Linked DNA regions of Xenopus tropicalis. The protein of the gene in region 2 binds, or shares a complex with, the protein of the main gene of each other region. Links are inferred from orthologs where the notes say so. Each region holds a gene or a part of one and is shown on either strand. Other genes may lie near its edges.

Region 1 (3,832 bases), on a different chromosome or scaffold from region 2:
TGTTTCTTGTTTAGCTAAAAATATTGTATAAATGTCATTCTTGTCTTGGTGAACTTGTATTTCTTTATTTCATTTAAGGTTTCCTTTATTACTTACCCATTCTGCATATCTTTTACATCACACACTAGCAGAGAGAATGGCAATTTGTCCCCCTTTCGATACTTTTGTGTGAGCACTGACAGGACTGTAATACATCTGACATGCTCAAGTGTGCATTTTGTGTACAGTGAGCAGTGGATTTCAGTCATGTGAATGCACACAAATGTAGCAGATGGGAGAGTAAATGAGTTCTTTCTACTATCAGTGGAGAAAATGAGATGTGTGCCAGTAGCCTGAGAGGATATTGGCACAGTTGTTTATTTCGCTGCCACTAGGTGGAGCATGCAATATACCAGTTAAGAAAAAAAAAAAAAAAAAATCGGAAATAATCTTTAAAAAATGCTATTACTGCCAAGACTTCAGGCATCCCTGGAATAAGTCTTCTTCATACTACTACCTGAGTAATAGAACATAGCCAAAAACAAACCTGCTCGATCAACACCTGGTTGATTTTTCAGCCAGATATCTATCGGGAGGCCCATCAGGGTGCATGGGGGGCTGCTGGGAAATGAGTACAAAATTTACACCCGCTATCTTTCATTAGAATATATATTCCATAGGTGATTTTAAACAGACATGGATTTTTGGTACCTCTTTTGTCTTTAATATTGGCTGTTATAATTGCTGAATATGTAACAAGACCATGTTGTTCCAGGTGTGGTGTACATGTCTGGCCATGTATTTGCTGTTGGAGGATTTAATGGCTCACTTAGGGTGCGCACAGTAGATTCTTATGACCCCGTAAAGGACCAATGGACAAGTGTGGCCAACATGCAAGACAGGAGAAGCACTTTAGGAGCAGCTGTTTTGAATGGGCTCTTGTATGCGGTTGGAGGATTTGATGGGAGTACAGGTAATTTAACCTGCTGTAAAAATGCTGATTTCTATTAAATTCCCTTTGCAGGCAGCACCGTGCGTACCCTCAGGCTCTTGTATTTGATAAATAGATAGATATACAGTATACAAATAAAGATAAAGTTGTATAGAAACTTATGTGTTAGTAAAGTTACCTAATATTTTTATATGCCAAACCCTCAATATTTTTGGCACACAAGTGAGTTTTGCTATCGCAAGATTCCATTACATAATAGCTGAAGGAATTGCATTGTTTTGTAGGTCTTGCAACAGTGGAAGCATACAATATAAAAGCAAACGAGTGGTTTCATGTTGCACCAATGAACACTAGGAGGAGCAGTGTTGGTGTAGGCGTCGTTGGAGGTACGTTCTGCCTGTAAATAACTGGTTTCATTATTGTGTACTTTCATGTCAAGATAGGATTAGCATTGTGTTGTTCCAGATAGAGACAGCAAAGTGTGTTTAGCAGTCTCATTTACAAGTCTTCAAGCTGTCGATCTTTGGCTGTTACTGAAGTTAGATTTTGGCAGGCGCTGGAAAGCCACAAGATATAAAGACTTCTCTGTATTTTAGTTCATATGACCAAACCAGATGCAAGTGAGGCAGGAATATTTTGAACATGTGAACATTCTGCACCACATAAATATTTGAACCTGCACTTGCAAACAATAGTCCTTATCATGCTAATAAAGTCTTACTTGTCTTCACCAATCCTCCACCGTCCTCGGCATACTTTGCAGAGGGGTGCTGTGACTAGGTACTGTAAAGATGGCACCATATTAACATGTATACCACTTGTCTTGAAAAACTCATGAAAACAGTGTTATAGCCATTGCCAAACTTGGTCATTTATGAAGACATTTAAGACATTGTAATATGTAATTGTATGTTTACATGTGAGGGAACTTATAATTTGTCTAGATAATTTATTTAATTTGAACAACTGCACGCAGATGGACATATACAGTGTGTAGGGCCAAATCCCTGATACATATTACTATTAATAGCTAGCAAAATACAATTTTTATATACATGAAGAATTAAAATGGGTAAAATTATTAAAAAGGGAATAGTCCAGTGCAGTACACACAGCAGCAAATCACATATTTGCTTTGATTCTCTGAATACCAGTAGACTAGACTGTTTGTTACTTGCTACATATAGCCATCTTGTCATGTGCTGTGACTTCTGTACTGGCAAAAAAATATCCATGAATGATATTCGCATTTCATTTCCTGCTTATAATCCCCTTTTTTGCTGGTGTTGGCCATTACAGGCATGCTGTATGCTGTCGGGGGTTATGACGGTGCATCTCGACAGTGCCTGAGCACAGTTGAATGTTACAACCCAAGTACAAATGAATGGAGTTACATTACAGAAATGGGCACAAGAAGGAGCGGAGCAGGTAACTAAGATCTTTCTTTACTGCTTTTATTCAAGCAAGGTGATTGGGAAATATTTTCAAGTGTTTGGAGCTTGGAAAAACACAGCTGGAAAAACAGAACTCACATTGCTACTTGTGAGTACTCAAATGAGAATGATCCCTTACATAAAAGTATTTATAGACAGCCATCCCTCCCATACACAAACGGCACCAGTTTGCCCCCACATCTGCCCAGCTTTCCTTACCTGTTGATAAAAAGCACAGTAGCATGGCAAGGTTGAAGAGCGCCATCTCGCAGCACTAAATCTTCACCTGTAAGTGATCACCGACATATGCAGTTGAAGCCATGCTGACTACTGAAGAGAGGATTCAGTAGCACAACATGGTCCCTTCAAGCCCACTGTGATACTGTCAACAGGTAAGGAAAACTGGGCAGAATTTGGGGGAAGACTGGTGCTGTTTGGGTGGGGGAGGGATGGCTGTCCAGGAATATTAGCTATTATGTGAGGCTTTTAATAACCTTTAAGCAGTGCTTGAAGTCCTGATTTTATTTGTAGGCTTCTTCTTTTGCTATCAAGCTGTACATTGAATTAAATCTCATGCAAAGCCTGTATAGTCACAGCAAGATTGTATTCAGTTGAGTGGTAAAGAATAAAAGCCGAACAAACTGAAAGTAAATTGTTTCTGAATAAAGTTATCACGTCTACTATAATTCATGATGTTTTGACATACAGGCTGTCCATTAGGAAATATTGCATATTACACATTTATTTTAATGGGTCAAAATTAGAAGGTGAGGATATTCTGAGTCAAATTGCAAAAGGTGTCAAACCCTGTGTAACCCTTTAAGTTCATGGGAAAGCAGGATCCTGCTTTTGCATTACATTGGGGAGTAGGTTGCCAGACAAAGTAACTTGAGGTCAGAGTGGATTGAGAAATGCAGATACGTTTTTTTTTCTGCTGTTTTTCACCCAAGTACTGTAAAAAGAATCTTACCCTTGAATTACTCAATGTCAGGAGTGGCTAGGGGTTCCCAGGAGCAGCCAGGCAACATAAATCCCTTCCTGCAGGAGATCTTTGAGGAGGGAAACATAATGGTGCTGCTGCTTGGTGCAAAAAGGTTGGGGAGAGTACTTACTGAATGCCAGAAAGAAGTTCCCCATTGCCCATAAGAGGGCAGCAAAGTCTAATACAAAGTAGGCTAAAATTAATACAGGTAAGGGATCTGTTATCCGCAAGCCATTATCCAGAAAGTTCCAAATTACAAAAAGGCCATCTTTTATAGACTCCATTATAAGCAAATAATTCTAATTGTTAAAAATGATTTCCTTTTTCTCTGTAATTATAAAACATTGTCTTGTGCTTAACCTTAACTAAGATATAATTCTTATTGGAGGGAAAACATGCTTGTTGGGTTTATTCAGTATTTAAATGATTTGCGTTATGGAGATGCAAATTATGGAAAGTTCCCTTATCCAGAAAACCCCAGGTCCC
Region 2 (3,832 bases):
AGATAGCAGCTGCCATTTTAGCTTGGTCTTCGTAGCTTCTGCTGTAGCTCTAGCCCTTGATAGCTCAGATCACACAATTCTTTTGAATGATAGCCCTTGGTAGCTCAGATCACACAATTCTTATGGAAGGAGGGAGCAGGAGAAGGGAGAGAGTTGTACAGACTCCTGCCCCAAGCCCCTGAACGAGCCCTAAAGGAGAGGAAGTCGGATACCGAAGAACATGTTTACAAAAAAGGAGACAAGAAATCCTGTGTTTCTTTTGATAGAAGACTCAGTCCAGCTTTTCTGTGAGTGCTTATGGCTGTATTTACATTACCATACTACATGACCTTTCTGATAACGCTTACTTTGTTTTTACCTTTTTTTTCTCCTTTAAAAAGAAATCTGCAGATAAAATATTGAAATTGTAGCGGTATCTGCAAATGAATACATTTATATTACAGGTTTCATTCGGAAAAATTCTCTTGGAGGGAGCAGCACTGGTTCCCAAGAACAACGATTAAACAAAGGGGTGACCTTTTCTGGGGATATGACCAGAATGGTAAGGAAGACATTGTAACACTGCAGTTAAAGTGATTTATACAATGGGAAAGGTGCTACACTAGACCATTATGACACACCCCGACGCAATGAAATTTAAAATTTTGCTCCCATACAGAGCAATGGGGACCTCTCCCCACTGCTCCACATGGGAGTTTAAATGTCCGCGCATGCGCGTTCGGGAGGGGGGGGGGCCTCGGGGCGCCCAGGTTAGAAATCAGGCGCTGATTATGATGGGTGGTGCCATACCATTATCAGATACTGTATCAACTGTGTAAATAATAAATATAGTGCAATTATTTAATCCATCACACACAAATAACAGTTGCTCCTAATTTATACTTTTAGTCCTTTGTAGTTGCATTAGGTTGGCCTTCTCAGTGTGTGTTACCATCATTAAGGCTTTAATATAGGTGGACTGGAATCAAATCTCTGTGACAATCTGTAAAGTTCAAGTAGCAGTTTTACTGGCTGGTGTGCTCAGAAATAAGAGCCACTGTGATACAATGTAAAAAAGTCTAAGGAACACATAGGAAAGATTGGCTACACAGCCCTACTACATTCATTTGGGCAATAAATGCAGGTAGTGCTGTGTGGTTCACCTCTCACTCAAGGATGGTGTTTACAACACTGGATTCCTAACATCCGCCAGTGAATCAAATTGCTAAGTTACACTGGCCACTGGGGGAAAAAATAATTTAACGCCATCTTATTTATTTTTGTAGGCTTCGATTTGTGCATGCCCATTAGAATCAAATTTTCAGATTTTACTCAAAATAGGAGTGCCACTTTTTTCCCATAGCCAATTACACCCAGCCTGGGTATAAGGAGTGAAAATAAGTTAGATGTAGTCCCACACCTTGTGTCTCAACCCTTTCTCCTTGTAGATTGTAAGCTCTTTTGGGCAGGGCCCTCTTCACCTCTTGTATCGGTTACTGATTGCTTTCTATGTTACTCTGTATGTCCAATGTATGTAACCCACTTATTGTACAGCACTGCGGGATATGTTGGCGCTTTATAAATAAATGTTAATGTAATGTAAAATGTAGTTAATGAAATAAGTTAAGTAATTATTATCACCAGCCAATAGGGGGCACTACAGGCAGAAAGATATACATGGGGCAACATTATCCGTGGCCTTTATGGGGGCACAGTGGTAGACTAGCCATTGCAGAGTAGGATACAGGTGAAAACAGGTGAGCAGAAAGTACTAGGTGTCTGAGATAGGTATATTTAGCATGGGCCGCCTATTGCACCAACAAGAAGCTGCTTTCCGGTGGGTCATCCAGCAGAGGAACCCAAGTGGAAACTTTAGGTAAGTATAGGGTTGGAGGGCTTTCGGCCAGATTTCTGCCAGTAGAAAAATCCTGTGTGGAATAGCAAAGGGACTCTAGAAGGAGTGTTGAATTGCTCAGACAGGTGGGAACAGGGATCCCAGGACTAGAGTAAGATTAGGCAACCCCAACCCCAAGATGTTGGTGACATATTTTGCATGTGATCCTCTGGACAATGTGAGACATGTATGTATCCCCAATATGTGCCAATAAAGTTACTGATTCTTAGGGCTGGGGATTGTGTAATCAGCTATCTGCCCATTCAACACGGGGTTAGCTCAAAGTTAAGCTTTGTTGTCATTTAAGGTTTGTTGAGCAGAATTTAGCAAGGCATGACAAGCATATAAGGAGGCTTTCTTTTTTTGTAACTTATAATTTTTATTGAGTTTTATAAGGAAGGGGGGGTAAAAATAAAAAGGAGAAAGTATAAAATACAATCAAAATATATAAAACATTTATAAGACACGTTCCTTGCGTTTCTGTTTTGGTTATAAGGAGGCTTTCTAATCACAGCAGCCTCCATGTAGACACTGTTGAGGAACATGGAGAGAAGCCTTCATGTAGACACTGTTAAGGAACATGGAGAGAAGCCTCCATGTAGACACTGTTGAGGAACATGGAGAGAAGCCTACATGTAGACACTGTTGAGGAACAGCTAGTGCCTGTTTGCATTCCTGTGAGCAGTCTGTCAGTCTGCCGGCTGCATCTACAGAGTTAGAGAGAAGATGAGGAAAGAGCAGGATTATTATATATAGTGAATATATATTTCACAGTGCTTTGCATCAGTCCCTAGTGAAACTTACACTTAATGGCCCTTAAAAAAACACTGTGATCAATTTTAATCAGGAGCCAATTAAGCTTGTGGAATGTGGGTGAAAACCCACCAGTGAAAAACATACAAACTCCTTCCACTCCTTGTGCCCTGGCTGGAATGTAGTTTTGGGCCCCAGCAATGCTGTACACTGCGCCACCATGCATGTTACAGCCATATTTGTTCTAACTTTTTACCTCATGGAAAAAGTAGAATTATCCATGGCTGTTTAACTAGATTCAGTGGGTCTTGGTCTTCAGTGAAATTATATGGCTCTCTCCATTGGCTTTCTTGTATGTCATTGTTATTTTATAATTATCATAATCTTCTTTCTCTTTTTTGCCTAGGCAACGACTGGAAGTTCTAGCAGCGAAACAAGTGAACAGGATGAAAAAGAGAAAGTAAAGGTAATTTGTCTATAATGTACCAAATACAAAATTTGTGCTCGCTAAAATTAAAGTTAGAGCTAATGTTATTTATGACTCAGAGGTTCATCTGACACAAGGGTTCAAAGTACAAATCCGTACCAAATGTAAAGTAGAGACCCGGGTGTCTATACCCCGGGTCTGTCACTCAAGTAGTAGAGAAGTCTGAGAAGCGATATAAAGAAGCTCACCGTAGTCCCGTAGTGGTCCGGGTGCTCAGGGCCCCGAACCCGTAGCTAAGGCAAAATATCCAAAATGTTGAGGGGTAGATCCAAGCGCACCGGACAGCAGGAGACTCTCTTAAAACTTAGTCTTTATTCATCCATTTAAAAACAAGCCACGCCTAAAAGGCGTGGCTTATTTTTAAATGGATGAATAAAGACTAAGTTTTAAGAGAGTCTCCTGCTGTCCGGTGCGCTTGGATCTACCCCTCAACATTTTGTCTATAATGTAGTCTAAATTAGGCGTAATTTATGAACTGAACACAAAGGACTTCCATATGCTTGGGAAACATCAGAATTGTACCACTGAACCACTAAACACCACTTTACTGCTGGTTATATTGAAGGTATGGTCACCTTTAAATTAAATGAATGATAAGCTATCAATGTTTTGTATGCCAGCAACATAAACAAAAATCTTCAGCACACCACTTACATACATGATCTCAAAGGGTGCTTAACTTCCACAGCCGCTCCCAAGCCTTTTTCCATGTATCTTTG

The links. The genes of interacting proteins can lie anywhere in the genome.
Region 1: the proteins of wnk4 (region 2) and klhl2 are in contact, whole or in part, in a crystal structure (PDB 4CHB), measured with the Homo sapiens proteins. The link is inferred for Xenopus tropicalis from reciprocal best matches to the Homo sapiens genes WNK4 and KLHL2. Residues at the interface, in NP_115763.2 of Homo sapiens: Glu557, Pro558, Glu559, Glu560, Pro561, Glu562, Ala563, Asp564, Gln565; in NP_009177.3 of Homo sapiens: Arg345, Phe361, Gly363, Ser364, Leu365, Arg366, Thr392, Phe408, Gly410, Ser411, Thr412, Gly413, Ser438, Ser439, Tyr455, Ser487, His504, Arg534, Tyr583.

Annotation. Positions count from the first base shown.
Region 1 is NC_030677.2:51,308,860-51,312,691, reverse strand, and holds part of klhl2 (kelch-like protein 2), read left to right. Parts: intron 1-754; coding exon 755-952; intron 953-1,215; coding exon 1,216-1,317; intron 1,318-2,230; coding exon 2,231-2,359; intron 2,360-3,832. UniProt on the Homo sapiens protein: Substrate-specific adapter of a BCR (BTB-CUL3-RBX1) E3 ubiquitin ligase complex that mediates the ubiquitination of target proteins, such as NPTXR, WNK1, WNK3 and WNK4, leading most often to their proteasomal degradation.
Region 2 is NC_030686.2:21,733,024-21,736,855, reverse strand, and holds part of wnk4 (serine/threonine-protein kinase WNK4), read left to right. Parts: intron 1-443; coding exon 444-541; intron 542-3,032; coding exon 3,033-3,092; intron 3,093-3,832. UniProt on the Homo sapiens protein: Serine/threonine-protein kinase component of the WNK4-SPAK/OSR1 kinase cascade, which acts as a key regulator of ion transport in the distal nephron and blood pressure.